4 linked regions of the Rattus norvegicus genome follow. The protein of the gene in region 1 purifies or fractionates together with the protein of each later gene. This does not show direct contact. Links are inferred from orthologs where the notes say so. Each region holds a gene or a part of one and is shown in the gene's direction. Other genes may lie near its edges. The genes, in order: Aatf, Nol10, Ngdn and Nat10.

Region 1 (7,501 bases):
TGGCTGGGAGTAATTGTGCTTTAGACGTGGGTCAGGGAGGTGAGGAAGACAACTGGATGTGTGTCATGATTATCTCTAGCACTCGATAACTGTCATATATTGAGGAAGAATTTAGGACCTTGGGCATGTAGCCGATATACTTGATGCACTGGATTTAACCTTCAGAACCTCTGAAAAATAAAAAAAAATAAAATAAAAAAATAAAACACCATGAAAAAGGAAGGAAGAATCAGACTAGATTTATAGCATCCAAGGCGTAAAAAGATGTCTACTAAGCAGGGAGTTAGCTTTCTGTTTAGAAACGGAAAGCAGCATGACAGCAGTCTCCCTAGGAACCAGAAGTAAACTCCCAATTCCAGTAAGTTAGCGGAGATGTGTATAGGGGACATGAATCAAGGGCTGGGGATGTAGCCCAGTAGTAAGAGTACTCACCTAGCACAAGAAGATGGGATGGGGGTTGAAATGGCTTAATTGGGTTCCTAGTAAAGTTTTTTCTAACCTAAGATTCTATTCTCCTCCCTCCTCAACAGCCACTAGAGCCAGAGTGATTGACAGGTTTGATGAAGGGGAAGAGGAAGAAGATGATCTGCCAGTGAGTAGTATTAGAAAGTTGGCACCGGTCTCCCTCTTGGACACCGACAAAAGGTATTCTGGCAAGACCACTTCTCGGAAAGCTTGGAAAGAAGACCATTGGGACCAGACTCTGCCAAGTTCATCGGGTGAGTAGACATATTCACCCCAAACTCTGGGCTTAGTTGTGTGTGGTTAAACTGTTTTGTTTCTGGAAGTCTCTGTGTCTCTACTTATTTTAGGAAAGACCATTGAGTTGGCACTAGGAAGGGCCTTAGGGGTCAGCGTTTCACTTTAAAAAGAATCCTAAAGCCCAGTTAAGCTTTTTATCTCATTTCATTTGACTTTGTTTCCCGTTAGCATTTTAGAGATGGTAGATGGTTCAGCTGAATAGAGCACAATAACATGTTTGCTTTTTCATATAAGATCCCATAGACTAGGGGTTGGGGATTTAGCTCAGTGGTAGAGCACTTGCCTAGGAAGCGCAAGGCCCTGGGTTCGGTTCCCAGCTCTGAAAAAAAGAAAAAAAAAAAAAAAAAAAAAAGAAGATCCCATAGACTAATTGAAATGAAAGATGTGGCCTGGTATGTTTCTCTAGGTAATCCCTTCTCCTTTTTTTCCTTATGATTTAGACAATGAAATACCTGATGAAGGAGGCTCTGAAGCTGGGGATTCAGAGGGCCTGGAGGAGCTCTCAGAAGATGTTGAGGAAGACTTGGAAGGTGAGAATGAGGATAGTTTTTATCTCAGAATTAGGGGAGACTGAAGCAGGGGGATCAGGAGTTCAAGGCCAGCCTGAGCTACACCTGACATCCTGTCTCAAAGGAACAAACAAATAAAAAGAAACCTAGAACTCAAAGTTACCAACTTCAGGTTAATGTCTCACCCTAAAATGAGGGGGAGAATGTGCAATGCATAACGGGTATTGGCAGGGCTCTGTGGTAAAAAAAGTTGACATGTGCGTGGTGCTTTTTATATTTTGACTTTTTGTTTTTCAGGTCTTGTATTGGTTTCCTGTGTGTTAGTTACTCATGAAACTGACCTCTTGTCATTGTAAATGAAAACATAATGCTTCCATCTTTCCTGAGAAAGAATCAGCTTATGGTTTTAAGCAGTAGTGCATTTCTCAAGGTGGAAGAAGTCTCTGGATATGGATACTGAGAGGACGCCATTATTTTAGGGAGGTCAGCGGAGCTTTGTTGAGGGTCCAGTGATAATGTCTGAGGAACTTCTTTCAGGTTATGATAAGTGCGATTCAGTCCCTGATGTAGTTCTAAGGCTTTGTCTTCAGAGTGTGTTTCAGGCTACCAGGACTCATGCTCTGTCTGTCTTTGTTTCCGTTAGCATTTTAGAGATGGCAGATGACGTGGTAGATATGTAGTAAGTGTGTTCAGCTGAATAGAGCACAATAACATGTTTGCTCTTCCATATAAGATCCCACAGACTAATTGAAATGAAAGACGTGGCCTGGTATGTTTCTTTAGGTAACTCCCTTACCCTTTTAAATCCCTTATGATTTAGACAATGAAATACCTGATGAAGGAGGCTCTGAAGATGGGGATTCAGAGGGCCTGGAGGAGGAGATCTCAGAAGATGTTGAGGAAGACTTAGAAGGTGAGGATGAGGAAGACAGAGAAGAGGACAGGAACAGTGAAGATGACGGCGTGGTGATGGCCTTCTCCGGTGTTAAAGTTTCTGAGGAAGTGGAAAAAGGAAGAGCTGTGAAGAACCAGATAGGTGCGTGTGTGCTTTTGCTGCTTGCTTGCTTTTCAGAGTTTCTGCATCCGTCTGCTCTTTAGTTGTGGTTGTTCTGTCTCTCCAGTGTCCGTCCAGTTAGTCTGTGACCAGAGGCCTGCATCCCAGTTCCTGTATAGCTGCTTAGCAGGTTCTGCACTAATCCTTGTGGGAGGTTGAAGAGGAGAGTGTTGTCTCCTCTTGTCAACGTTTCCTCTCTCATAGCAAGAGAGAGAGTTTATTTTCTAGAGCGAGGAATGTTTGTATAGCACGAAACTCATCGAGTATGCTGCTTAGAAATTGGTGTTCTTGTCCTTCAGAGCCCAGCCCAGAGAGACCTTCTGACCCTGACACGGGGTTTTCTTTTTACTTTTTTCTTCAGCGTTGTGGGACCAGCTCTTGGAAGGAAGGATCAAACTACAAAAAGCTCTCTTGACTACCAATCAATTGCCTCAACCAGATGTTTTCCCTGTCTTCAAGGACAAAGGTGGCCCAGAATTTGCCAGTGCTCTGAAAAATAGTAAGAATACTCATATCATTTTGGGGTATACTGGATTGGATGTAAAAAATAAAAACTTTTTTTTTTTTAATTTTAGGTATAGTATACTATAGAATATCGGTTTTAGTTCTTCGGTTACATTTGAGCTTATCTAAAAAGCTGAATTATCAACCCTTCTTCTAAAAATAGCAATATAACTTATTATCAGATGAAGACAACTGTAAAGTGTATTGGGCATATGAGCCATGTCTGTTTTATGATATCACTTGCCAGCCTTCTCTGGCTTTTTGAGTTAATTCTTAAAGTTTTATTGTTCTTTTTGATTTTTTTGAGACAGGGTTTCTCTGTGTAGCCATGGCAGGCCTGGAATTTGATCTGTGGACCAGGCATGCCTTGAACTCATATCTTCCTGCTCCTTGACTGGAGTGCTAGGATTAAAGGAGTATGCCACCACTCTGGATGAGTTACTTCTTAAAGTATTGGGAAACCTACAGATGTAGAACAAAAGGGAGTGAGAGATTGAGTAGTTAAACTCAGTCCTTATGCTGGTTGTAACAGATTCTTAAAGGATGCATTCCTCTGTCAGGAGGGCTTTGGAACAAGTTAAATGATGTTATTCCTATCTTTCCTTTGGATAACAAAGAGAAAAGAGACTGACTGCAGGGGAAGAATTATTTTGGAAGAGAATTATTGCGCTATAAACTCAAAGAATTCTAGAGAAAAAGAATCTAGAGGTTACTTGGTTCCTAATTCCTTCACTTTACAGATGAGAAAACCAGAGATAGTGGCTCACTCAAAGAGTTTGTTCATTAACAAAAGGTGTAAAACTCCAGCTTTTTTCCCCTTAAACCAGGAGTCCCCCTCACACTATGCTGTCTCCTGTGTATCCAGTGGCACCAGAGTACTGGGGCACAGGGAAATGTGAGTCTTGGGCAGCATGGCTACCCTAACTTGTATGCTGAGAAGTTGCTGTCCTGGTTATTTTGGAGACTAAGGCAGGAGTATCCTTTTAGCCTAGGATTTAAGGGCATGCTGAGCAACCCAAACAAAAACAAAACAAAAAGCCCCCATGAAACCCAAAATGTAACCTTTTATAGTAGGGAGTTCAATTTGGAACAGCATTGAGGACATCTGGTCTGGTATCGCTTTTAAATAGAATCATTTGAGCACAATTCAGGATGCATGTGCAACTTTGAGGATAGAAATTTCATTTCTCTTCCTTCCTTCCTTCCTTCCTTCCTTCCTTCCTTCCTTCCTTCCTTCCTTCCTTCCTTCCTTCCTTTCTTTCTTTCAGACAGGGTCTTACTATGTAGACCTGCCTGGCCTCACAGAGATCTACTTTCTATCTCCCCACTGCTAAGATTAAAAGGCACAGGCTACCACACCTGGCACAGCATTTCTTTTGTAGACTAAGCAGTTAGAAATGACTTTCTGTGGACAGTTTTTAGTTTTGTGGTCTGTCATATTCATACTTGAAATTTGTTTTCTGTGAAATCTGGGCAGCCTTTTCAGGATCAGAGTGTGTATTGTGAGACTGATCTCTCCTGACTTCTTTTTTTCCTCCCTAAATACATGATATAATTTTTTTTTTTAGGTTTCTGGAGTACTTCTTGGCTATTTTTAGTGTCCTAGTATCCTCATTTCTGAGATGCCTTTGGATGAACTCTAAGCTGCTCTAGAGCAAATGTTTTAAACATTTTATAGTAAGAGCTTTAACATTTTGTTACTTATTAGTCTTCTTTCCTGAATCTTTATGAATATTCACTAAAATACAGGTATTTCTGGATTAGCATTGCATACTCGATTTCTTTATCTTTATCTTCGAGTAGCTTGCATGTTACTTTAATTCTGCTTTGTGACACTTCTGGCCTTTCTAATTCTTTGCACTTACCCAGTTGCCTTGTCCTGGTGAGCATCTATCACTCTTAAGTCTGTTAGTCTGGCACATGTAGGTTGTAGTAGAAGAGAGAAGGACGGACAGAGTGTTGTTTGCTACTACATTCCGAGAGGATGGGGTGGGGGGCTCTAATAACCAGACTTTCCATGCAACTGAAGGGTAGGGGGGATCTAATAACCAGACTTTCCATGCAACTGAAGGGTGGGGGGGATCTAATAACCACACTTTCCATGCAACTGAAGGGTGGGGGGGATCTAATAACCAGACTTTCCATGCAACTGAAGGGTGGGGGGGATCTAATAACCACACTTTCCATGCAACTGAAGGGTGGGGGGATCTAATAACCACACTTTCCATGCAACTGAAGGGTGGGGGGGATCTAATAACCACACTTTCCATGCAACTGAAGGGTGGGGGGGATCTAATAACCAGACTTTCCATGCAACTGAAGGGTGGGGGGATCTAATAACCAGACTTTCCATGCAACTGAAGGGTGGGGGGGATCTAATAACCAGACTTTCCATGCAACTGAAGGGTGGGGGGATCTAATAACCACACTTTCCATGCAACTGAAGGGTGGGGGGATCTAATAACCACACTTTCCATGCAACTGAAGGGTGGGGGGGATCTAATAACCACACTTTCCATGCAACTGAAGGGTGGGGGGATCTAATAACCAGACTTTCCATGCAACTGAAGGGTGGGGGGGATCTAATAACCAGACTTTCCATGCAACTGAAGGGTGGGGGGGATCTAATAACCAGACTTTCCATGCAACTGAAGGGTGGGGGGATCTAATAACCACACTTTCCATGCAACTGAAGGGTGGGGGGGATCTAATAACCACACTTTCCATGCAACTGAAGGGTGGGGGGGATCTAATAACCAGACTTTCCATGCAACTGAAGGGTGGGGGGATCTAATAACCAGACTTTCCATGCAACTGAAGGGTGGGGGGATCTAATAACCAGACTTTCCATGCAACTGAAGGGTGGGGGGATCTAATAACCACACTTTCCATGCAACTGAAGGCGGCTGCTTCTTGTTTGCCTCCATCTTATGACGTGAGACTTAATATGTTACATACACGCCTGTCTGGATGTTTTTCAACACTATCGGGGCATATTCTTGGTAACTAGTGTAAATAGTTAGTATGAAACAGGCCAAATCTATACCAATTCACTTTGCTTTTGATTCAGTAGGTTTTTGTTTGTTTTTCTGAGACAAAGTCTTCTGTCTGGCTCAGGTGCTGTGTAAATCAGTCTGGTTCAAACTTAGACCTACCTGCCCTTGCATCCAGACTTGGGATTAAAGGTATGCTTAGTCAGAACAGTTATAGTTAGATTTCCAGGGTTTGTTGTTCAGTTTTAGACAGTTCTCATGTACCTTAACCTGGCTTTGGACTAGCTGTGTAGTAGAAGATAACCCTGAACTCCTAATTCTCTTGCTTCCACCAGCGTTAAATAATGCTGGATTATTTACCTTTTTATTTATTTATTTATTTAGAGACAGTGTCTCATGTATTCATGTTGTCCTCTACTTTGCTGTGTAGTTAAGGATGGCCTTGGACTTCTGATCTTCCTGCCTCCTTCTCTAGTGCTAGGGGTAGAGTCATGTGTGCTGCCATGTCTAGAGTACAAGTACCCTAACACCCTGCCTGGTTAGACACTATCTCAGCAGTTGATTAACTCTATGGTCTTAGGCAGGTTACTTCACAGTAAGATAGGACTAATATGGTTGTGAGAATTAAAGGCCACAATCAATGTAAAACATTGTAGTTACACAGTGTCTGGCATACATTCTTCCGTAAGAACTAGGTACCAGAGTTATCTTTTTCTGTTGATAGACATTTGGCAATGTTCAACTATGTGAACATGTATTTTTACCATCTTCTTTTTTTTTTAAGATTTATTATTTTTCTATTTTATATGAATACACTGTAGCTGTCTTCAGACACACCAGAAGAGGGCATTGGATCCTATTACAGATGGTTGTGAGCCACCATGTGGTTGCTGGGAATTGATCTCAGGACCTCTGGAAGAGCAGTCAGTGCTCTTAACCGCTGAGCCATCTCTCCAGCCCCTACCATCTTCTTACTAGTATTTAGAATCCCTGTGTAGTTTAATCTAATTATCGTCTAGTGTTATAGTCTACTAATACTTGTAAAACCTACCTCTTATGATGCTATAGAAAGGTAGGTTGATAGTGATTTCCTTATTGCAGAAGCATTTAGCAAAGTATTTTCCTTTTTAATATTGGTTATTAGTGTGTGTGTGTGTGTGTGTGTGTGTGTGTGTGTGTGTGTGTGTAAAAACATGCAAGCTGGAGCAAACAAGCACAAGTGTGTACATTAGACATCCCAAGATGGAAGTCAGAGAATTTTGTGGGGTTCCTTGTCTCTTACCTTAATGTGGGTTCTAAGAATAGATTTTAGCTCATTAGACTTGAAATGAAAGTACTTTTACCTGCTGTTCCATCTCACTGGTCCAACCTTGAATATGTTTTTGGGGTTTTGGTGACCCCAAGTACACTGTTTGAGTTCTCCTACCTGTCTGATCTCTTCATAAGTTCTTTAAATATATATATGATTTTTAATTTTTTAAAGAGATTTATTTACTATGTATACAGTGTTCTGTCTGCATGTATGCCTACAGGCCAGAAGAGGGCAACAGACCCCCCCCCCCCCCCCCCCATATAGATGGTTGTGAGCCACCATGTGGTTGCTGGGAATTGAGCTCAGGACCTCTGGAAGAGCAGCCAGTGCTCTTAACCTCTGAGCCATCTCTCAAGCCTTGATTTTT
Region 2 (7,501 bases), on another chromosome or scaffold:
CAGTGGGGTGGGGACAGGTCCCACAGGGCCCTGGAAAGCCATGGAGAACTGTCCAGCTGAGATTAACATCATCACATCTGTCTTCATCAGTCCTTCCCTCAATACAAACACTTTATATAACAATACTGTGTGTTTATTGTAGAATTAAGTCATAGAAGCAGAAAGGGTCCTGTTCAGAAACCCATAGCAAAGTATCTCAGCTTTAAAACAGTGGTATGGGAGAGACTGTACTCCCAAGTACTCAGACTGTCAGAGAGTCTGAGAAGACAGCTGCCACCACCCCTCACCCCCAAAAAGGTCCAGGTGCCTAGACCATACCCAAGGCCAAAGGCTAGTGGAGCTGGCAGACCCAGAGCCAAGTTACCACCCAAAAGGCTATGCAAGGGTGGGGGGAAGGCAGACACCAACTATAACACTGGCTACTGATTTAAATCCAAAAGCAGACTGAAACAGTCGAGGGTAGCCTTGAAGTGTCTAGCATGTTCCCTGTGAAGTGAAGCAAATCTGACATTCAAAGTATAGAGCTGGGTTTTCAGCTTATGAACTCCACAGAGCCTATGTCTTCCCAGTGTATCCCATAGACAAGTGGAGACCTAAGTCTGGGCTTGTGGTATGTGTTGATTTGAAAGATGCTAGCCCTTTCGTGTGATGTGAAAGACTTCAGTGTGCTGAAGATATGTTTAGTATGAAGATATGTTTAGTAAGAAGTAGAATCCCAGGGAAAATATGTTTGTGAGTCAGATAAAAGCCATACATCTGTTTGGTTAAGTGTGCTGAGAGCATCACACTTTTTTTGGCTGCTTAAATTAATCACCCTCACTGGAGCTTTTGAAGCTCCATTTGCAAACTAGTAATATTGAGAGCATTGAAACTTTTATAGGAAAGAGAAAATTTTGTCAGTTACTTAAAAGACTTACTTAGTATATATGTACATGCGCTTACCTGAGTTTATGCACATGATTATGTGCATACCTATAGGGGCTAGAGAGTGTCAGGTACCCTGGAACTGCAGTGTTAGATGTGAGCTGCTGATGTGGGTGCTGGGAGTCAGACTTGGGTCCCCGTCAAGGACAGAAAATGCTCTTAACCAATGAGCCCCCAAAGTTGGTTATTTAGGAATACCTAACATTGCACTTTTAAACACTGAAGCACTGTTTACATCTTATATTTGGATTGCATTTGCCTTGTAACTAGAGTCTGTCCTGAGGAACAGTGAGGTATACTGCCTTCTGCTCTTTAACTTGCCCTCCCCTGCAGAGGGATTAATAAAAACTGGTTGAGGAGTGATTTTTTAATTAAATGTTGCTAATTAAAGAAATTTTAAAGTGTGTATTTTAAGCCTCAAAGAAGTAAGTCATTCTCCTTTCCTGGGGCAGCTAATAAATATCTCATTTGATTTTTTTCCCCTTGTAGTTTATGCCCAGTTCCTTTTTCATATTAAGGAATCCTTACTAATCGTGTAGGCTCTTCCCTTCCTGTTCTACCCTGGATAGCTGGGTGTCTCAGCTTCTAATCTTTATTTCTCTGTCTTCTCTTTGTAGTCACCATCATGTTTTTATTAACTTGTCCTGTTTACATTTTTTCCCTGAAATACATAATTGTACCAACTAGAAAATGTCATGTGTTGTCACCTTCCGCCCCAGACCTGAAGCCTGGGGTGGGGGATAAGGAGAGCCTGAGGTAAGAAGGGAAACCAGCTGCTGCTGCAGTTCTCTCTGACCAGTCACACTCAAGCAACAGACGATGACCTGCCGGGTGGCAGCCACACACTGACTTTCAAAGGGAGAGGAGGGGAGCTTGCTTTAATGTAGAAGTCTGCACACCATCCCCAGCTGTCTCTGATCTTCTGCCATGGCTCGTCCTAACACTCAGCTTGCCTCTCTGAGCAGCCTAGACAGAACAAGTTTTTACAGGCACAGGAGGAGAGAACATTGGGAGAAGGCAGTTATGTGCCCTACTGTGGAGGAAGTCAGGGCGTTCTTAAAGAGTAGTAATTTCCCACAATTGACTTGAAAAGTCTTTTACTTCCCAAATTAAGGTTCTCTGTGGCCCACTTTGTCTCAGTGGCTCCATAGTTCAGAATTCCTGTTAACTTTGAAGCTCACATTGAGAGCAGCCATGAACAGGCTAAGGAATCTGCCTAGGTGGACAGTTTGCACTGCAGTTAGCTCATGCCTCACTTTTGAGTTATTTAAAACATTGCAACTGGATTTTAATTCCTTCCAGTTTGTCATGTGGGAGCTTGTCACTAGGACCACTTGATGGACACGTCTTCTGAAGAGAGGTGTAAATCCATGGTCTCACACACACCTGAAAAGTAAACTCCCTCCTGGAACCCTGGTTTTAGACTTGATCCACATACTGCCTGGGGCAAGTCATTTAACATTTACCTCCCTTTTGCCATCTATAAAGGATAAATACTTCTGTCTCAGGGATGTTGAAAGGATTAATTAGTTAGTCTGTAAAGAACTTTGAAGATGAAAAGTACTTTAAAAGTGCTTCTTAATAACGTTATCGCCTAGAAAAGAGCGCCACTTTTATGCTAACCACTTATGCCTCAGACTGTGCAACGAAGGTGTGCTTAGCATGCTACAGATAGCTAGCTATAAAGTGAAGTGAGCTTCTCATGGTGTGAACATCAAACATTGGTTTCAAAATCGCAAAGGAACTTCACTGTGTAGCAGCTTCCTCAAGAGTGGGGATCCACTCATAATTAGTTACAGAGATCATTCTGGGGAACAGAGGACAGAGGATGTCTCTCACAGTCGCCCCTGCTCCTAGTTCTATCAGGTTTTTGGGTCCCTCAAGGGAAGGTGAAGATGGAAGGTCCTTGGGCTTTATTTTGTTCTTGTGCACTCCTTGATTTGCAGAGGGAAGAAACAGAACTGCAAGGCAAATGGCGCTCTTCCTTTCTGGTTCCTTCTCCTGTGCTCTAGGATCTCATCTGGGGGTAGGCAAGCATTGCAGCCATCCTGGAGCAGGCAGATCTCCAAAACAAGTTAGTGGGGTGGGGATCTAAATGTCCTGGCTTATGATAAAAACATTTCAGTAACATGCAGGTAAGTTTTAAGTATCAGTGCTATTGGAATTTGAATGGGATATCAGTCCCGGATGGGCATATGCATTCCTGTAGTCCCAGAACTAGGAAGGCTGAAGTAGCTTGCCTAGAGTTTAAAACCAGCTTGCACTATAGAGTACAAAGTCTTCCTCTCAGTACGGGCGTGCGCTCTGGAGTGGAGTGTCAAACCTGAAGATACCAGCAGATGTCTCAATGGAAAAGGTATCAGGTGGAATTTACCCAACATTCAAATTGTTTCTGTTCCCTGTCAGTGTGAACAGAGGGATTTGTGTTCAGTTGTCCATGCAGAAGATGGGGATTGACCAAGGCTGATGTAGAAAACCAGAAGTGTCAGGGGACCCCTGTGACAGGAACTCAGCTTCCACCCAGGTGCTTGTAGGAAGTGAACGAGGGGCCGCATGTCCACCCACCTCAATGGTTTAGATACAGAGTGACCAAGAATCACCATCACTGCAGACTATCCCAGGAGACCACAGGCCAGAAACACTGTTTGCATTTTGGTTTTAGAAATATAATCCAGGGGCTGGGGATTTAGCTCAGTGGTAGAGTGCTTACCTAGGAAGGGCAAGGCCCTGGGTTCGGTCCCCAGCTCCGAAAAAAAGAACCAAAAAAAAGAAAAAAAAAGAAAAAAAAAAGAAATATAATCCAGTGAGCTCAGTGGCAGCCATTGAGGTTGAGGTCCATAACCATTGAATTAATTAGTGTTTGTGTCAGCCACTGTTTTTACAGTGCGCTTATGGAAAATGACAGTTTGAGGACAGCTGACTCTCTGGGCTCTGTTAAATGAGTGTTACTGTTTACCATGTGCATGAAAGACGTGTTCATGTGATCAGCCCTGATTAAACCTATCCCAAATAGTCAATCAAAGCATGTTAATGAATATGTCATTCTTTTAACCTCCTACAGCAAAACTCTGGAAGATCGCTTGAAACTTGAAGCAAAACATGGGACCTTGAGTGTGTCAGACACCACTGTTGGCAGCAAGCAGTTGACATTTACTCTCAAGAGGGTAAGTAGTTTCACAATTGTCACCTCCGTCTCCGCTGAAAGGAGCAACACCACAACGTTCTTCTCAAAGCAGTTTATTCAGGAACCTTTCTTTCTGCATGCAAGCAGCAATCTCTCTTTTCTTTTCTTCTCCCTTTCTTCCTCCCCCCCCCCCCAGCACACTCCCTTATATCCTCCCTCAACTCCGCCTCCTCAGTCCAGACTGTGTAATCTCAGTTCATAGGTCCACGTCACATGACCTGATCTTGCGTCATGGTGCACCTGCACAGCTCTCACAATGAACATGGCTAGTTTCAGGTGTATGAGGAAGTCAGGTGCTAGTCACGAGACTTAACTGCAGTCCCGGGCGCCATTTTGGGACTGCCGCCACACCCGCTCCCCACATCCTTTGTGACTGTATAGCTAAAAATGGTTCCCTACACACAATTTTATTTTAATCCACACAGGAAAGCTCTAGGTATGCATATGGCTTTGGGGCCACTCTCCCAAGCTTCTCTCATTGAGGAAGCCTTGTTTCCTACCCCAGTGCTTCCCTATAGCCAGAGCCCCAGCTGGGTGACAGCTACAGAAGAGTATTCATGGGAGAAAGGCCTCATGCTGGAGTCAGCCCTGCTTGGCAACCTATGTTCCTCTGGGTCTCTGTGGCCCATTGTGCAGTCCAGCTTCACAAGAGCTCTGTCTGAGCTCTGTCCATCACCCAGTACTTACCTACAAAGGACTGTGAAGTGACTAGCTTTGCGATGGTCCCATCTGGCTTGCCCAAATACAGGCATTTCCCAGAGTGATTTCTCAGTCAGTAGTAATCTGTTTTAAATTGTCTTGAAGATCCTTTTCTTCTTTCTTCTTCTTTCTCTCTCCCTCTTCCCCTTCCTTCCTTCCTTCCTCATTTGTTTGTTTTGGATTTGTTTTGTTGTTTCTGCTGTTTTGAGACAGGGTCTCTGTATATAGTCCTGGCTGTCCTGGAACTCACTCTGTAGACCAGGTTAGCCTCGAGACCCGCCTGCCTCTGCCTCCTGGAATTGCAGGTGAGCACCACCACTGCCAGGCAAAGAGCCATTTCTGAAGCACGATGTAGTCCTAATGCCTTTTGCATATTGTGGGAGGGACTAAGTTGCTTAAGTATCTGCCATTAGCTAACAAATAACACAACATGGTCTCTTTTCTCAAAAAGATAATTTTTTCCTTCCCAGTCATATCCCTCAATGAAGTCATCAAGTAAAAAGGGCGACTGCAAAGACAATTGCCATCCCCTATGGCTCCTTCTCTAAACTGACATGTCACTTACATGCTGTAAAATCCCCCAAGGTTTTCTTTTTAAGTGTATGTTCTTCACTTTTTAACAATATACACAGAAGGAGCTCTGTGTTTCACACAGGAACATACACTTAGCAGTGGAGTTCTTGCAGTTCTGTCAGTCTGTGATTTATTCTCTTAAATAGGTCAGAATTTTTACGCTAAAACTACTTGATGTGTTAGGCTTTTTTTCTGAAATCAAATGAGCAGAGTATAACTTGTTAACACAAGGCTTATTGTCAGCTTTACTGTCTGTAATCTATAAGGAACACGTTTATGTCTCCTTTGAAACAGGAGCCGTCTCTAGGAACAGACCCACAGTGTCTCTGCGTGGCTCTGTCCAACAGACCGTAGTGCAGCACTGCTCTCATTCTATAATCATAGCCACTTGTCTCCCAGAATGAGACAAGCAGGAGCCCTGAGCTGTCTGAGTGGCTGCTCATCTGGTCAGTTCTTTCAGCGAAGTTGGAAAACTTGACAGGAGAGGACTTGCACACCCCCTCATGCTAATTAATCCCTCACACTCTCTTTTTTTTCTCTCCTTCTGATGCTTACTATTGTTTCTCCAGGTCCGTGCATATGTAGGTAACACTCTGCAGCTAAACTCCACCCCATACTCAGCAAGACTGGCAGTGACTTCTAATAACATTCACTAGGTTTATAACTGTCCTGCTCGAAGCTTTTGTATCAGAGCTGGGGAGATAGCTCAGTGGAGGAATGCTGGTCACAGACCCCAGCTCTGGCAGTGAGACGGCTCAGTCATTCCCACCCCACAGAACTGTTAAGTCAGAAGTCACAAAGTTGAATGTCACTTTGTAAATTTGTGGTAAAACGAAAAGATGAGGAGATACCCTGAGACTTGCTTGAAGTGACACCAGCGCTGAATCAAAACCCTTTGGGAGAATATACTATGTCAATTAATGATTGATTTATGAGTTGTATTACTTGATTGGCATGCTCTTAATCATTTAGTTTATCAGTGTTAAATATATGTTTAAAGATATATTTGTGTATTTGTTTATAGAAGTTTCTTTTTGTTCTATATTCATTGTATATGATACATTGAGGCAAATTGAGGTGCTTTCTGCAGTGCCCGTTGAGTTCACGGGGAGGCTGCGTGTGCTAACGCTGGAATCAGAGCTGTTGCTTATGTCATCAGCTAGCATCTGTCCTCTCCCCTTCCCCACAAGGGCTTCAGGCTGCAGCTGCACAGGAACAAGGAGAAAGAAGAAAAGCTGACTTGGAAAAGAGCTAATTGCCCTGTAAATCTTGATGAGTGGGTGACACGGTGGTATGGTCTTCCAGTGCAGCCTTGGGGAGAGAGGCTAATGATAGACCTTGTGTGTGGGGAGCTTTGTCTACAGAACAATAGAGGCCTCTTCCAGAACTGCCCCCACAGTCCTGCTTCACACTGTAACGACAGGGCCACACTCGCACATGAAGACTCCAGAAATCCTCACAGCTCCTAGCATCCTGTCTGTCTGGGTTCAGCATATCTAAAGAAATGCATTTTATACACCAGACATGGTAGTGCACACCTACATCAACCTTAATCCACACTTGGGCTGAAGCGGGAAGATCATGAGTGTGAGGCCAGTCTGGGCGACACAGACACTGTTTAGGGTGGGGAGGATTTAAGGGAACCTTAATGTGTAGGGCAGAATATTCTCCCCTCTTCTGCCCCTGCCCCCAAGTACTCACTGAAACAAACCCAGAGCCTTGTTCATCAGAATTAAATAGTTGTGCTAACTCTGAGGGTCTTGATGATGTGCAGTGTGGTCTACAGGACAGGTGCTGTCCCCAGGTTCCAGGGTCTCCCTTTTAACACAGAAAACCAGTGCCCTGACTGGCCGCAAGGCTCAGTCCTTTCTCTCTGCTAAGGAAACAGGGCAAATGACACATTTACAAAATTAGCCCAAAGTAAGAACTCCGGTGGAGGAAGTGCCTGCGAGCCCACGGCAAGGCATCTAGTCAGTGTTTTAGGAAGCAGAGGCTACACTGACATACCACATCTTTTTATACATTTTATTTATTTTTATCTGCACAAGTGTCTGTGTGTACACAAATGTCACACATGTGGAGGACAGAGGGCAACTTGAGTTATTTCTCTCCTCCACCATT
Region 3 (8,143 bases), on another chromosome or scaffold:
ATCAAATAGTCACTATAAAATCTAGGACTTTTTAACAATGTCAGAGTTCAACTGATTCAAAATTTCAAAACTTGGATGGATTTTTCTTTAGCTTTAGAGATTTAAGATAATACCTAATTAATGCTGTTCTGGGCTTTGTCCTGCTCCCAAATTCATAAGGAAATGCTTTTAATTGAAGGCTTCTCTACCATGAGCCCAGGAACTTGAAGCAATATAGAATCAACCCGTTTCTAAAATTAAAAATACTTGTTTTTTAATGCAGAGCACAGCTGTGGATCCCCATCCTACCTGATACATCTACAGTGTAGCTCCCATACCCAAGGCCAGAGCTGGGGAGAGGGGGTGTGTCTTAGTTAGGATTACTGTTGCTAGGATGAAAGATCATGGCCAAAAGCAAGGTGGGAGGAACTTTTTCTTTTCTTTCTTCCTTTTTTTTATTTTATTTTATTTTTTTATTTTGGCTTACACTTCCACATCATAGCCCATCATTGAAGAAAGTCAGGACAGGAACTCAAACAGGGCAGGAACCTGGAGGCAGGAGCTGGTGCAGAGGCCATGGAGGGGTGCTGCTTACTGGCTTGTTCATCACAGCTTACTCAACCTGTTTTCTTACAAAACCCAGCCACCAGCCCAGGGATGGCACCACCCAGGATGGACGGGGCCCTCCCACATCAATCACCAATTAAGAAAATGCCCTACAGCTGGGTCTTAGGGAGGCATTTTCTCCACTGAAGTTCCCTCCTTTCAGATGACTCTAGCCTGTGTTAAGTTGACATGATGCTGGCCAGCACGGGGTTGGAAGATTGAAGAAGGTAAGAGCCATTGGACCAGGGCATTTGCTAGAAGATGGTGTCTTCTACACCTGACAGGTTCCCTGCACTGTGAAATCTTGACAATATGGCTGTCTAAACAAGGCCAGTGATGACAACACCAATTGTTACCAGGTTATTCAATCCAAGTGCTCACCCCGAAACACACATGCTCTGGTTTGTTTCCTATTGCTGTGATGAACGCCTTGACCAGCAGCAACTAGGGGAAGAAATGGTTTATTTCATCTCAGGACTCTAAGGTCACAGTGCACCACTGAGGGAAGTTAGGGCAGGAACTCAAGCAGGAACCTGAAGGCAGGGACTAGAACAGAGACTATGGAGGAATGATGTGGACTGGCTTGATTCGTGGCTTGTTCATCTTGTTTTCTTTTTTTTTTTTTTTTCTTTTTTCGGAGCTGGGGACCGAACCCAGGGCCTTGCGGTTGCTAGGCAAGCGCTCTACCACTGAGCTAAATCCCCAACCCCATCTTGTTTTCTTATATAACCCAGGACCACCTGATATGTCCCCACTCCCACGTCTCTCATTATTCAGACTTGAGTGCAGGCCTATCTTACGAAGGCATTTTCTTAATGGAGGCTTCCTCTTTCCAGATAACCCTATGTGTCGTTGATAAAAAAAAAACTAACCGGCACAACATATCCCTAAACACATATGCAACACTGAATGGACTCAGCACATTGCATTTATATAGATCTATCTATCTATCTATCTATCTATCTATCTATCTATCTATCTATCTATCTACATACAGGTGCATGCATGTGCAAGTGCGTGTGCAAGTGTGTGTGTAAAACAAGAAGAGATCATGATGTTGAAATGGAGAGGGGTGGACACAGGAGCAGTTGGAAGAGGGAGACTATGGGGTGAAATTATGTAAATATGTGCTCATGAAATTTTCAAAAATGGTAAAAATGATAATAATTAAAATCGCCATTAAATTTGTATTCCTAAAAGAAAGCTTTTTTTTTTCTTTGCTCAGTATATACTTGTAAATGCTCTGAGTACTTACCATCGTGTGGTGCTGTTGAAAACAACCAAAGTCAAAACAGATTTAATGATCTTGTGTTCTTGCTTGCTGGTTGAATCTGAAAGAACTTTATAAAGATTTATTGTATTGTTAGCTCTAATATTTCTGTAACATATGAGGTGATTGGTATTTTTTATTTTTCCCTTCTTCATTTTTTTTTTTTATCTTTACCTAATATGTGTTGGTGTGAGGATATCAGATCCCCTAGAACTGGAGTTACAGACAGTTCTATGCTGTCATGTAGGTGTTGGGAACTGAACTCAGGACCTCTGGAAGAGCAGTCAGTGCTCTTAACCACTGAGCCATCTCTCCAGCCCCTGTAATAGGACTTAATGCCTTCTTCTGGTGTGTCTGAAGACAGTGACAGTGTACTCATATACATAAAATAACATGCAGTTTTATTTATTTTCTCAGATATTGTAATCATTTGTCCATAACACGTGACAAACTTCAAGTTCCAAAGAAAGCAAAATCTTGTTTGTGTCAGGAAGAGTAGTGTTAAAACAGAGGTTTCACAAGCAAATCCTGATACACAGAAAGTGCTGACAAGATGGCACTTGCTTGCCTACCAGCTTGACCAACTGAGTTCTATTTCCAGGACTCACATAGTAGAAAGAGATCCAACTCCCATTTGTTACATATAATTACTTTTCTGTATGCCTTTGTCTGTTTATAAGGAAGTCAGAAGAAACTAAAATCCCCCTGGGGCTGGAGTTAAATGTAGTTGTGAACTGCCTTGTCTGGGTGCGGGGAATGGAACGCTGGCCATCATGACCACTGAGCCATCGCTCTGGCTCTCTTTTCATTTTGTTTATTGAGACAAGATCTCACAATGTAGACCAGACTGGCTTCAAACTCCTGGAGATCTGCATGTCTCTTGACTAAAGAGATCTAGGATTAAAGGCAAAGCCACACTTTAGATTTCCCGTCTCAAGTCTGCTCTTCTATTGCGCAAGGAAAATCCGAGCCAGCACCACCTTTCTAGGCTGTATTGTGTAATGCAGACGGACGATGGGAGTTGTTACTCCCACCTAATCCACAAACCGTGAGAGGCGAGGGAGTGGGCGTGTTGGACGATACTGAGCAAAGATGAAGGGGATAAAGGAAATATGCACAGCCTGGATTTTAACCCAGTTCTGCAGTGGACGAATGGAGCAGTGAGGAATGCACGCAGGTTGAGCCGGTTCCTCGCCTATCGATTTTTCCCACGAGACGAGTGCTGGGCGCACTGCGGCCTTTGCGCAGCATCCTCGGCGTACACGAGGAGGGTGGGCCAGTGATGCGGCCGACGGCTTCCGAATCGTGGCTTCTGGCTCCTCTATCGTAACCATCCAAATCACTGATGAAAAGGGCTCCATTGTCGTACAAGGACGGTCACAGGACTAGGAAAGGGGTACTTGGAAGTTCAAGGGGCAATGGCGGGCCAGTAACCCGACTGCATCAGAGAATAGCCGGAAGCTGCCACCCAGCGGTCTGTTTTGGTACTACACGGAAAACCCTGTGAGAAGACTGTGACTCTGCGGCATCTGGGAGCCAATGAGCTCTCAGGCTGCACAACTAATTTCTTTTTTCTATTGGTTTCTCTAGCTGTCAATCCATCATTTATGCAGTAGTTATTGGGAGTAGCATCAATCATTTTCTGTAAACCACGAATCACATGCTTCTGTCGCCGCCCATCTTTACGCTTTAAGCACGCCTCTGCGTCTGACACATTTAGGCAGTTTCTTTATTCCATTGGCTAGATGAGGTCCCGCCTTTCTGATTAGCGGAAATGAAAGATCTCTTATTTCCATTGGCTGAAATTTGTAAATTGTGATTGTCTATCAAAACTATGAACTCAGGTTAGCTCCCAGGAAGTTCGGGCCCGGAAAGGGTGGGCTTTGCGAAGATGGAGGCTCCGGTGAGTTCTGTCTCGTTGCTTCTTCCCGGAAAGGAAGGGATATCTGGTTGTTTCCTTTCGCCTCCTTGGAACGAGGCAAACAATTAGCAGCATGGAAGAGTAGTGATGAAAGTTGTTAAAGGGATGCGCCTGCCCTGACAATCAATAGCACATGTTAGATGAGAGACGCTGCATGTTGGCTGGTTCCGGACAGGAGGCCAAACCCCCAAAATTACTCTTCAGAATGAGCTTTGTTGGGAGAGCCTCGTGACCCGGCCTTAAGGTGGGAGAATGTTCCGAGAACATTAGCAGAAATAGCGTCACGTACAGTGTGGCGGGGGCTCGGAGCAAAGACAGCCGCGGGGTTTGGCGCTCAAGTCTCCGGTCTTTTCCAGTAAATTGGGGGGTGTGGTGAGAGGAGACTGGCTTTGAGCCGAGGCTGCCTATACCTGTTCAGGAAAAACGACCCAAAGGCTCGAGTGTTTTAAAGGAAAGGAGGGAGTTTCATAGGCGATACGTTCTGCCATCTTCAACACCTAAAGTAAGAAATTGACCCCTTCACCTGTCCCCTATCTGTAGGAGGTGCTGGAATCAGAGGTGTCAAGTTCGATAACACTTTTGAAAAATCTCCAGGAGCAGGTGAGTATTGTCTCCTTTTATCTCTCTCTCTCTCTCTCTCTCTCTCTCTCTCTCTCTCTCATCTATCTATCAATCATCTATCTATCTATCTATCCATTCATTCACTTAACATCCTGATCGCAGCCCCCTCCCCAGAAAACTTTTTTTTTAAGTTATACCCAAACTCCTTTATCTAAAAAAATAACAGAAAACAGATTGGCAATAGTGACATATCGCTATAAGTGCCACTTAATATGCATTTAGATAGTTTGATGTTTTTTAAGTCCTATTGGTACAGATAAAATTACACTCCTCAGCCTTGTTTTTGTAATGGCCCACACCTTTAAACTCAGCACTTGGGAGGCAGAGGCTGGTGGCTCTCCAGTGAGTTCAAGGTCAGCCCAATCTGTATAATGCGTTCCAGAACAGTCCTCATCACCACTGCCCCACTCCTCATCCCCTTCTCTTGGTTTCTTAATGATCCCCTCCCCCAGCTTTAGAAAGCAGTATGAAGTTTTTCTCTGCCTCTTGGAGCGTGGTGTTCGTCGACAGCATTTCAGTTGATTTTTAGGTGGCATTACCTAGTGTTTCTTCTTCCTTGTTCCCAAACATTGCTTGTGGTCGGGTGAACTGTTCAGATTGAATGTGGCTAATTTCAGGTGATGGCTGTGACAGCACAAGTACAAGCACTGACAGCAAAAGTTCGAGCTGGAGCATATTCTACAGAGAAGGTAAGGGTTCTCGATCAGGGTGGAGGGCCAGCTCAGTGGTTAAGATAGCTTGCCACCCTTCCAGGGAACCTGGGTTTGGTTCCCAGCACTCAGGTCTACATGACGGGATCCCATACATGTATGGTGTGCATATGTACAAACACGTAAATAAGAGTAAATCTTAAAGGTGGGGGGGACCTTGAAAAGGGAATATCTCCTCATATGATGTGCTTGGTGGTTTGGGTTTGTTTTTATTCTAGTAGGTTTGCTGTGTGGTAAATGTCCTGAGAGTTAGAGCTTCACCTAAATGTGAGTAATGTGTGGGTTCTGTACAGGATTTGGGCAAGGACGCAGACCAGAGGGCTAGATAGGAATAGTGGCAGCCACTTTACAGAAGTCAGGAGTGATATGCCAGCCAAGCAGAGAAAGTAACTGGACTTTGAGAATAAATATGAGATACTCACTATTGCAGTGTTGTGGGGGAGTAGATGATTCTGTGGACGGATATACATGCATTTTGGTTGTGTGTGTGATGTGGGTAAACATAAGAATGGAGCCGTCACTCCGACGTAGGACAGCTGAGGAGTTGCTCCTTTGTTTTCTTGTGGTCTTGATGTTAATTTGGGCCGAGGTGGCTTTATAGACAGACGTCCCCAGCTTTGTTTTCTGTCACTTCAGTTACCTGAGGTTAACAGCAGTCTGAAAATAATAACTGTAAAGTTCTAGCCCACCTCTTTAAGTTTTAAATAGTGTATTTTTTTTTTTCGGAGCTGGGGACCGAACCCAGGGCCTTGCGCTTCCTAGGTAAGCGCTCTACCACTGAGCTAAATCCCCAGCCCCTTAAATAGTGTATTTTAGTGTGTAATTGAGTTACTCGCTATTGCTAGCTGCCGTTAATCTCTTACACTAGGATTGTAAATTATGGTTTATCATTTGTATAAGTGCGTAGGAAGAACGGTGTATCTAGGATTCAGTTCTCTGCCATTGCAAACATTCGTTGGCACTTTTGGAGTGCATCACTTGTGGATAAAAATGGCACTAATCTGTGATGAGAAGCCATTGACTGAAAGATGCATCCTAATTTGAGATCCTAAACTGTGAAGATGACGAATCTGAAAATGAGATGCAGTAGCTTCTTCTCTTGCTTGAACCTTTTTTCCCTTTTCATTTTGTTTTGTTTGTTTAGACAGGAGCATGCTATGAAACACAGGCTGGCCTTGAACTTATGACCTTACTCTTCCACCTTTCAAGGGCTAGGATTTTAGATTCTCTGATGTGCAGTGAAATAGGCTACCTCTCAAATGAAAATTTAAAGAAAAAAAATAAAAATATTTTAGAACATTTTGGGGATTATTTGTGTCATTAGAGGACAACCCTTGACGTTTATAAAGTGCTTTACAGGTTACAGAAGTGCTTTCTTGTTATCTTGTTTCAAAACATTCTTAGGGCAGTGCTGGAATTCTGTTACTTTTTACATATGAGAAGTTTACAGTCTCAAGTTTAAGTGACATAACCAATATCTGACTACCAAATGGGTAAATCAAAATTTAAACTCAACTTGGCAGTTTTAAATTCCATTTCCCATCCTGGGACGTACAGTAGGGCTGACATAAAGAGCTAAGCATGTTTAAGAGATACCCAGGACTCAGGCCATGGAGTTTCACTGAGTATGACTAGCATTTGAATTTTTGCTGTGTAATTTTTGGCCAAAGTTTTTAACCCGTCATACATACATTTTCCCAGAGCTGTGGACTGTCGGTATCATTTTGTGCAGACACAAGACTTTCTCTTATTTCATAACTGCAAATTATTACTGTATTTTGTTTGAAAGTCGGTGTATTTGCTTAATTTATTTCTTACCTGTGTACGTATCAACTGGGGTTAGGGATTGAATCCTTCCATGTTTTCCGATGAGCACTCTGCTTTTGGAGTGACCCGCTTGTTCAAAAGGAACTTTTTCATCATACAAGCACTGTTTCCCTGGTATCCTCCTCTTTCTAGACAGTTAATTGAGTGTTGTCTTCGGGCTTTTCCTGCATATAAAAGTGTGCAGCTAGCAAGACAGCTGAGGGAGTGAGGCAGTGTGTGCAAGCCTGAGACTTGTTTCAGCCCTGAAACCCACCTGATGGTAGAAAAAGAAAACCCGCTCCACCGTGCCCTCTGACCTCTATGTGTTCGGGGTTGGATGCGTGTGCTCACAAATGCATTCACGTCTTCCATGACGATAGATTTTTTAGAAGGTGTGTGTATCACACAGCCCCACTGGAACTGTATTATAACCACTTTCTACAACTTCTATTGACCTTTAGTTCCCTATCAGTGTATATAAATCACTTGTCTTATCTATATTGTGATAGATCTAAAATGGTTAAAACTTGGGAGGGCCTGTCCATGAGACAAGCCCAAGGGTGCTGCTGATATGCACGGTGTCCACGTTCAGAGTCACGTGGACTCAGATGTCAGAAGCTCTGAGACTGCAGCACTCTTAGTCGTTGGGCGACTTTGGATGCTTCTGGAGAACCCGCCCATATCCATGGGAATGCGTCTCAAGACCTCCTATGGGTGTCGAGACTGTGCTGTGTGTGTCCCTCTGTGGTCTGCAGTCTTCTGCACAGCACCAGGGTTTATCTTCCTTTCCACATTTTATGCCCTTGCGCTGCTTTTCGGCACGGCTCTCACGCATATGTCGGGGATGGAAAATAGGCCTTTCCTGGAACAAAAGCTCTCTAATAACTGACAATTGAGCTGGGGTGACTGCTAAGTGACTGACAGCATTCGCATTGTGGGCACAGCAGGTAACGGGATGATTCGGGTAACATGGACTGGCTGGGGAAGACATGATCCCGGTATTGCCTTAGCTGCTCCTCCTGATTCGTTGGCTGAGACTAAGTCTGTCTCTCACTGTTTACCTCAGGGTCTGAGCCTCTTGGAAGTGAAAGACCAGCTGTTGCTCATGTACCTCATGGACCTGAGCCACCTCATCCTGGACAAGGCCTCTGGGGGCTCTCTGCAGGGACACCCTGCAGTTCTGAGGCTGGTGGAGATTCGCACGGTATGACTTTCTAAGGCTCGCACTCC
Region 4 (7,501 bases), on another chromosome or scaffold:
TTATCTTTTGCCATGTGGATTCTGAGGATCAAATTCAGGTCATTGGGCTTAGCAACAAGAACCTTTCCCTGCCGAGCCATTTTACCACACACTGTGAATTTTAAAGAAACCAAACCATAAAAGACAAACATCAAAATAAAATTCACCATATTCAGAAGTTACATTTTTTTCTAGTTCTTTTTTTTTTTTTAAGTTTCACCACCCCCCAGTCCCCCGCCATGTTTTGTATGTGTACAAAATGGGCCAGCAGTGTTACTCAGATGGCAGACTGCTTGCTTGCCTAGCATGCATGAGGCCCTAGGTTTGATTCCCAGCATAGCTTAAAACCTTGTTGTGGTGATATATATTTGTAATTTGAGCAGTTCCCTGTAATCCTAGTACTTAGGAAGTGGAGGCTGGAGGATCAGAAGTTTTAGGCTATAACATCTTGGACTATATAGTGAATTCAAGGCCAGCCTGGGATATATCAGACTCTTAAAATCTCTTGTCTTGCTACTCTTTGGGGCCTATAGAGATATCATTCCATGCTTTAATCATTCTTGGTTTTACTTACTTTTAGCATGCTGTCCTTTTCTTTTTTTACTCCTTCTTGAGGCAAGGTCTCCCTGTAGCCCTGGCTGCCCTGGAACTTACTATGTAAGCCAGGCTGGCCTCCAACTCACAGGAATCATCCTGTTTGTAGCTCCCCTAATTTTTCATAAGCTCCTTGATGGATCGGACAAGCACTCTGCTGACTTTCCTGCTTGCGGACATTTCACCTCTCTGGCTTCCTGATTATAAAACTGAAATCAATGTCTTCCCTGTGGCATTGTTTGAAGATTAAGATTTTGTAATTTTTGTAATTAGGATTACAAATGGGCCTTGGCCACTTACTTGGATGTCATTCTAGTATTTGGTTCATCTGTATCTTTATTTCTGTGTTAGTGATAGTCTTTCACCATGCATCGGAAGAAGGTGGATAACCGAATTCGAATTCTCATTGAGAATGGCGTATCTGAGCGGCAGAGGTCTCTTTTTGTTGTAGTTGGAGATCGAGGAAAAGATCAGGTAAGAAAGACCTGGTAAATGCTTCCTCAGTTGTTGTTGTCCTGTCCCAAAGAGGTTGGCGGGTTTTCTAAGCCTTTTAAAGTTTCAGTACACTGCCATTATGATCTCTTCGCTGGTAGAATCCGTAGTGGGGACATTTGTTCAGTACCTGGGAATGGTAAATTCTCTAAGATTCATGGGTAGAGAGATGAGCCAGTATCCTTGGAATCCTCACATGCTGCATTGGCCTCAAGGTTAAACATGTGTGACCTTAGGTGTTTTCCTTGCAAGTTAGCTGCTATGTTTCCAATGAGGTCTTGGGCCTGGCAGTCCTTACGTTGTCTTTGACGCTGGGATTTTGTGATTTTTTTTTCTTGTCAGGTGGTTATTCTTCATCATATGTTGTCCAAAGCAACTGTGAAGGCTCGGCCCTCTGTCCTGTGGTGTTACAAGAAAGAGCTGGGATTTAGCAGGTAAGCCTTGTCTTTGGATGTCACACCCAGCTTTCAAACTTCTCAGTTAAATTAGGGAGAAAACCCTCGAGTGTACTTGAGGGTTACTTCTATTGTTCAGGCCACTGTTTGCCCTTAGAATAGAAGCCTTTATACTTCCTAGCCACCCCTTTTCTATCTGGCTTTTGCTTCTAAGATCATGATGGCCTTGAGCTCATAGACATTCCTAGAGATTTGATCCCTCTAGTAACAACAGTGTTTCTCCGTTTCTCCTCTTTAGAAAGCTCCTTACACCAGTTCACTGTTACTAGACAGTTGGTGATTTTTACCACCTACCCCCTCTCTCTTTGGTTTGTGGTTCTGGGTATTCACCACAGTACTTAGTGTTTGCTTTACCACTAAGTTACATAGCCAGCCTCTTATTTTCTGATGCTATACTGGTCAAGACTTCTGGTGGCGGGGCTGGAGAGATGGTCCAGTGATTAAGAGTACTTGCTGTGCAATCATGAGGACTCTAGTTTAGATCCCAGCAGCCACACAACAAGCCGGCTGCCTGCACATAGCCTGCAGGTTGAGTTCCAAGGAGTCCAGTACTCTCTGGGCTTCATAAATGCAAGTCTCTGTACATGTACTCTCTGAGCCTGTGTGCATGTACTCACATAGGCACAAATACAGGCACACAGATAAACAAATACATTTTGGAGGAAGACTTGCAGAGGGACTCCAAAGCAAACACCCGTAGGTTCCGTGGGAATGCTTGGAAATAGAAAGGATAATTCAGGGCCTAAGGAGTTAAGGTTTCAGCTCTGCTTAGGGATAGGTAGTCTGGGCCAGAGTGCATCTGTTTCTTGTCAGCCTTGCATCTCTGCAGATCTGTTCTGTGCTTCCTCGTGATGATGGTGAACTAGCTCACTAGCTCTTTTTTTTCCTTCCTGTTTCTCTGGCAGAAACATATTTAGTTTTATGTGTAAGGCCAACCATATGAAAGTGCATAGATGACCCCAAATGGGGCATCACATGTTAATATAGTGAGTCATAGTCATGTAGAAACCTGGCAATTCTCCTTTAACTCTGAAGGAGTTTGAGATGAGGTAGACAGTGCTCCTTGGCAGATAATCCACTCTGTGGACCCCTCTGAGGAACCTTCTTTTATGACTCCTGTGCACTTAGTCCACTCCCTGAGCTTCTCACCTTCCCTATCCTATCTGCCCAGTACCTCACATTCTCTGGATGGCCCTCATCCAGCTCGATAGCCCCATCCTGTGCCAGGTGTCCCTGCCGGCTCCTATGCTGAGTCTGCCATTTCTACCCCCTGGCATCAGCTCCTGAGCCCCCTTGCTTCCTGTGTTGGTCTGCTTGAAGCAGCACTTTTCAACCAGACTCTCCTTCAGGACAGTGTGATTGCCTTTTCTGTTCCTGTCCAGGCCTGCTTTCTTAGATGTTTTCTTTCATTATCTGTCTGTCTGTCTGTCTGTCTTATCTATCTATCTATCTATCTATCTATCTATCTATCTATCTATCTATCTATCTATCTATCTATCTATCAACAGGGTTTGTCTGTGTAGTTCTGGCTGTCCTGGAACTTGCTCTGTAGATCAGGCTGGCCTTGAACTCAAGATCCACCTGCCTCTACCTCCCAAGTGCTGGGATTAAAGGTTGTCTATGACTGCCTGGCCCTATTTTTTCCTTTAAAGTTGTATTGTGTTTGTGAGTGTGTGTGGTGAAGGGAGAGAGAGAGGTGTTTGTGAGTATGGGCATGCAGTGCTGCAGCATGTGTGTGGAAGACAGACGACAGCCTTCTGGAATTGTTTCTTTGCTTCCTCTGAGGAATCTCTCATGTCCTTCCACACGATGGTAAAATTAGCTACATAGGTTAGAGTTTTGTTTGGGATATCTTGACTGTTTTTTTTTTTTGGTTTGGTAAGTATGAGATTGTGTGGAGTCAGGTAATCCTTGGTATTCTGGGAAGTTTTCAAGTTTAACCCACCTGGTTTCATCGTATTAAATTGTTCTGTGTCTCCATGATAGTGGCCCTTGTGTGTAATACCATATGGGCACTCAGGAGCTTGGGGTGGAGGATTGATGAGAGTTGGCTGGTATAGAGTTGAGACAATGTCTCAAAAACTGCAGGAGGGTAGGGAATCTGTGTGTACATCTCCTTGCCTGTCCCAAGCCTCCATTTTTACAACACCATGAAAGAAAAGGGCTTAAGGGAGGAGCCAGAATCGAGTCTGTGTGCCTCAGTTCACACAGGAAGTAGAGGCCCACAAAGGAATGCCTTAGTTCTAGCTATTAAATTTGAAAACAGTGGTTCATTTTTCCTCAGCCAGGGCTGAGGAGATATACCCCTGTCTAGGAAACATATAGTAGCCTGATAGCACCCCCAGCTTTCCCAGGCCCTTTGGAGAATAGTAGTGGGAATATTGGTTTCAAACTTAAGGTGATCATTTGTGGCCAAATATGAGGCTTCCCTGCCCGTTACCCATCTTTAAAGTGGTCTGCTGAAGGTTACAGAGACGAGTAAGTAGTTAGTGTGTGTGTGTGTGGGTGTGTGACTGTAGGTGTAGGGCTGTGTGTGTGGGTGTGTGTATAGGTGTGTGTGTGTGTGTGTGTGTGTGTGTGTGTGTAGATGAAAGGATGTCTTTGTGGGGTTGGTTCTTTCCTTTCACCTTTACAAGATGCTAACCAGCATATCCCAGTGTGCCTCCACTTTCCTTACCCCTTAAAGTGAAGGAGACAGCCACTGTCACACTTTCCCCTCTAAGTCCCCACTAGCTCTGCAGGTCTGAGGATCACTGTGCCTCTTCTGCCCCTGTTAATTGCCTTTCTTGGGATGGTGGTGTTACAGTCATCGGAAGAAGAGAATGCGGCAGCTACAGAAGAAGATAAAGAGTGGGACCTTGAACATAAAGCAAGATGACCCCTTTGAGCTTTTTGTAGCAGCCACAAACATTCGCTACTGCTACTACAATGAAACCCACAAGATTCTGGGCAACACTTTTGGCATGTGTGTCCTCCAGGTGTGTGTCTCCTTCCCCATGAGAGTGAGTACAGTAAGGACGAAGGCTCACATGTGAGCACCCCAAACCCCAAGCATTGTTACTGGAATTATTTGAAAAGGAAACTGGGTTACTCACCCTATAAAAGCTTTTTTTCTGCACTTGACTGGAGATACAAGAAAGTAGAGGACTGCACCACCACAGATTCCTGCCTACCATGTCCAACATAGTAAGTTCTGGGCCAGTGGAGCATGCCTTGGGGTGCTGAGACAGGAGAATTGTGAGTTTGAGACCAGCCAGGCCTTCATCGAGCAAATAGCAATGCATGAGCACTGTGGACTTGGAGTCATTCTAGAATCTAGGTCCTTGTTGGAGCTAGGACTCCCAGCCTGTGAGCACTGATGTCAATTATGCAGCCCTGACCTGCTTATCCACTCATACCCTCTTCTGAGTAAAGAAGTGACCCCTCCCACCTATTCTGGCCTTAAAGAACCACCTACTTTCCTCAGTACAGCTTGGTGAAATTCTCCACTGATACTTGTTTTCTTGTCAGACAAGTTAATCAAACATTTTTCAGTTTTGGTGGATGTTAGATGGTATCTGACTTTATCTAATATCTGTGACACCCCTTTTAAGGCCCCCTCCCCCCAAAAATGATAAAATGTCTGTGTACAAATCCATACATTTTAAATGTACTTGTTATATTCACATATGAATTATGACCATAATTATGTAAATTAGAAAACATCTCACGGAATATAAGTTAAAAATTAGAGTGGTCCTCAAGAATAAGAGTTTTCAGTTTTTCTTTCTGTATCTCTAGTAAGTAACTCTGCTGGCTTCTAGCACACTGGGGAGCTCGAAAGAACATTTTTACCCCAGTGTCCTGTAGCAACTTACCAGTCATCGGGATGCTGGTGCCCCATGTTGTACAGTTTAGTTTTTTCAGGTTGTCTAGAAATTGTCCAAAAAAGGCAAGTAAGATGCTTCTGAAATTGCATGCGAATGAGTGATGTTTAGAAGACTTGCTTTGGATTAGAAATAGTTTCTTAGATTATAAAACCAGATCTTCTACTCCAGGGATGGATGGGCTGCCTCCTATGGTACCCTTGTTTGCTGGTGGGCAGGTGTGAGAGGTGAAGTTTGGGCCTGTGCTCTGAAGCGCTCGTTGCTATCCTGCTGTCTCTTGGTTAGGCAGCCTGGAGTTTGTGTCACAAGTCTTTTTATGGTTTGATTCTTTCTAGGACTTTGAAGCATTAACTCCAAACTTGTTGGCCAGAACTGTAGAAACAGTAGAAGGTGGTGGATTGGTGGTCATCCTCTTACGGACCATGAACTCGCTTAAGCAGCTGTACACAATGACTATGGTAAGAGTGCTTCTTAACCTTGATGCAAAGCAGTTGCTTTTGCTGTAGCTGGTGAGCACCTTCAGTGAGCGGTCAAGTCCAGCAGCCAAGTCCTCGCCACAACAGACAGGTCCTCTCCACTTGTGAGGAGTTTCTGAGAACCATGTTTGCTTTCAGGGAGTTACGGTTCCACACTGGTGAGGTTGAGATGCCATGCCGCTCTGTTGTGTTTGTTCTGTGGCACAGGATCTCACTTTACAGCCAGGGCTGGCTTTGAACTCTTGCTCCCCCGGTTCTAGCCCCCCTGTGCTGGAATTGTAGGTTTGTACCACCACAGGCCTGGAGCTAAACTCATCATTTAGAGGGACTGTGTGCAGGCTTCCTTACTAGCCGTCATCTTCTGAGGGAAACATACCTGCTAGTTCTACGTTAAGTCTGGAGAAATTTAAGCTGTGAGGAGAGGTAGAGCCCTTCCCAAATAAGACATGCTAATAAGTGGGGCTCCACTGACTCACCAGCTCCATTGGGATTGGCAGGTCAGTGTCCCCAGAGCCTTGAGGCTCAGGAATGGGCTGTATTGGCCCTGGCATCTGGGTTTTCAGGTGAGGTGGACTCTCTTCAGATTCTGAGGCTGCCTTCTGTCATTCCCACACCCACTGTCACTTGCCGCTAAAGCCACTCTGATACCTTCAGACATGGCTGACATCTTTACCCTAGGGCTTTTGTACTTGATATTCCCTCCAGAATGTGCTCCCCTTGAATCTCTGCATGAGAGTGACCTCCAGCTCTTCATCCTCTTTCCTTTCCCTTCCTAGACTGGGCAGCTCTGCCTGTCACTCCCTCATTTGCATCATCGCCTCAGTCACTGTTCTGTTGTGTGGAGACACCATGACCCAGGCAACTCTTACAAAAGCATTTAACTGGGGGCTTGCTCACAGATAAGGGGTTAGTCCTTTATGACGGAGAACATACTGGTATGACAGTATACATGGTGCTGGAGAAATAGCTGAGAGCTCACATTCTGTAGGCAGACAGAGGTTGGGCCTAGTGTGGGCTTTTGAAGCCTCAAAGTGACATATTTCTTCCACACTTCCTAATCCTTCTTAAATAGTGTCACTACCTGATGACGGATGTCCTAGTCAGGGTTACTGTTGCTGTGATGAAACACCATGACCAAAAGCAAGTTGGGGAGAAAAATTTATTTAGCTTACATTTCCACATCACTGTTCCTTGTTGAAGGAAGTCAGGACAGTTACTCAGACAGGGCAGGAACCTGGAGGCAGGACCTGATGCAGAGGCCATGGAGGGTGCTGCCTTTTGCTTACTCCTGGTTTGTTCAGCCTGCTTTTTATAGAACCCAGGACCACCAGTCCAGAGGTGGCTCCACCCACAATGGGCTGGGCCCTCCCATATTAATCACTGATAAAGAAAACACCACACAGGCTTGTCTGCAGCTCCCTCTGATTGAGGCATCTTCTTTTTTTTTCAACTGAGACTCACTCCTCTCCAAATACTCTAGCTTGGGTCAAGTTGTCATAAAACTAGCCTGGGACAACTAGGCATTCAACCATTTTTATTCAGACCACAGTTGTGTTCTTCAAAGCACTAACAACTCCCTAACATTATTCATTTTGTGCGGCCTCTGCTAGTTGTGGAACTTGTGGAGAGCAGGGACCTA

Evidence for each region.
Region 2: the proteins of Aatf (region 1) and Nol10 purify together in Homo sapiens (affinity purification with mass spectrometry; 4 studies listed by BioGRID and IntAct, counting the BioPlex papers as one, with this or other methods). This does not show direct contact. The link is inferred for Rattus norvegicus from reciprocal best matches to the Homo sapiens genes AATF and NOL10.
Region 3: the proteins of Aatf (region 1) and Ngdn purify together in Homo sapiens (affinity purification with mass spectrometry; 3 studies listed by BioGRID and IntAct, with this or other methods). This does not show direct contact. The link is inferred for Rattus norvegicus from reciprocal best matches to the Homo sapiens genes AATF and NGDN.
Region 4: the proteins of Aatf (region 1) and Nat10 purify together in Homo sapiens (affinity purification with mass spectrometry; 3 studies listed by BioGRID and IntAct, with this or other methods). This does not show direct contact. The link is inferred for Rattus norvegicus from reciprocal best matches to the Homo sapiens genes AATF and NAT10.

The regions. Positions count from the first base shown.
Region 1 is NC_086028.1:69,881,454-69,888,954, reverse strand, and holds part of Aatf (protein AATF), read left to right. Parts: intron 1-530; coding exon 531-719; intron 720-1,202; coding exon 1,203-1,292; intron 1,293-2,091; coding exon 2,092-2,307; intron 2,308-2,686; coding exon 2,687-2,824; intron 2,825-7,501. UniProt on the Homo sapiens protein: Part of the small subunit (SSU) processome, first precursor of the small eukaryotic ribosomal subunit.
Region 2 is NC_086024.1:45,944,664-45,952,164, forward strand, and holds part of Nol10 (nucleolar protein 10), read left to right. Parts: intron 1-3,985; coding exon 3,986-4,088; intron 4,089-7,501.
Region 3 is NC_086033.1:32,456,319-32,464,461, forward strand, and holds the start of Ngdn (neuroguidin), read left to right. Parts: upstream 1-3,695; 5' UTR 3,696-3,746; coding exon 3,747-3,758; intron 3,759-3,799; exon of another isoform or gene 3,800-4,020; intron 4,021-4,316; coding exon 4,317-4,376; intron 4,377-5,014; coding exon 5,015-5,086; intron 5,087-7,979; coding exon 7,980-8,117; intron 8,118-8,143. UniProt on the Homo sapiens protein: Part of the small subunit (SSU) processome, first precursor of the small eukaryotic ribosomal subunit.
Region 4 is NC_086021.1:110,595,592-110,603,092, reverse strand, and holds part of Nat10 (RNA cytidine acetyltransferase), read left to right. Parts: intron 1-924; 5' UTR 925-939; coding exon 940-1,047; intron 1,048-1,407; coding exon 1,408-1,499; intron 1,500-4,326; coding exon 4,327-4,498; intron 4,499-5,721; coding exon 5,722-5,844; intron 5,845-7,501. UniProt on the Homo sapiens protein: RNA cytidine acetyltransferase that catalyzes the formation of N(4)-acetylcytidine (ac4C) modification on mRNAs, 18S rRNA and tRNAs.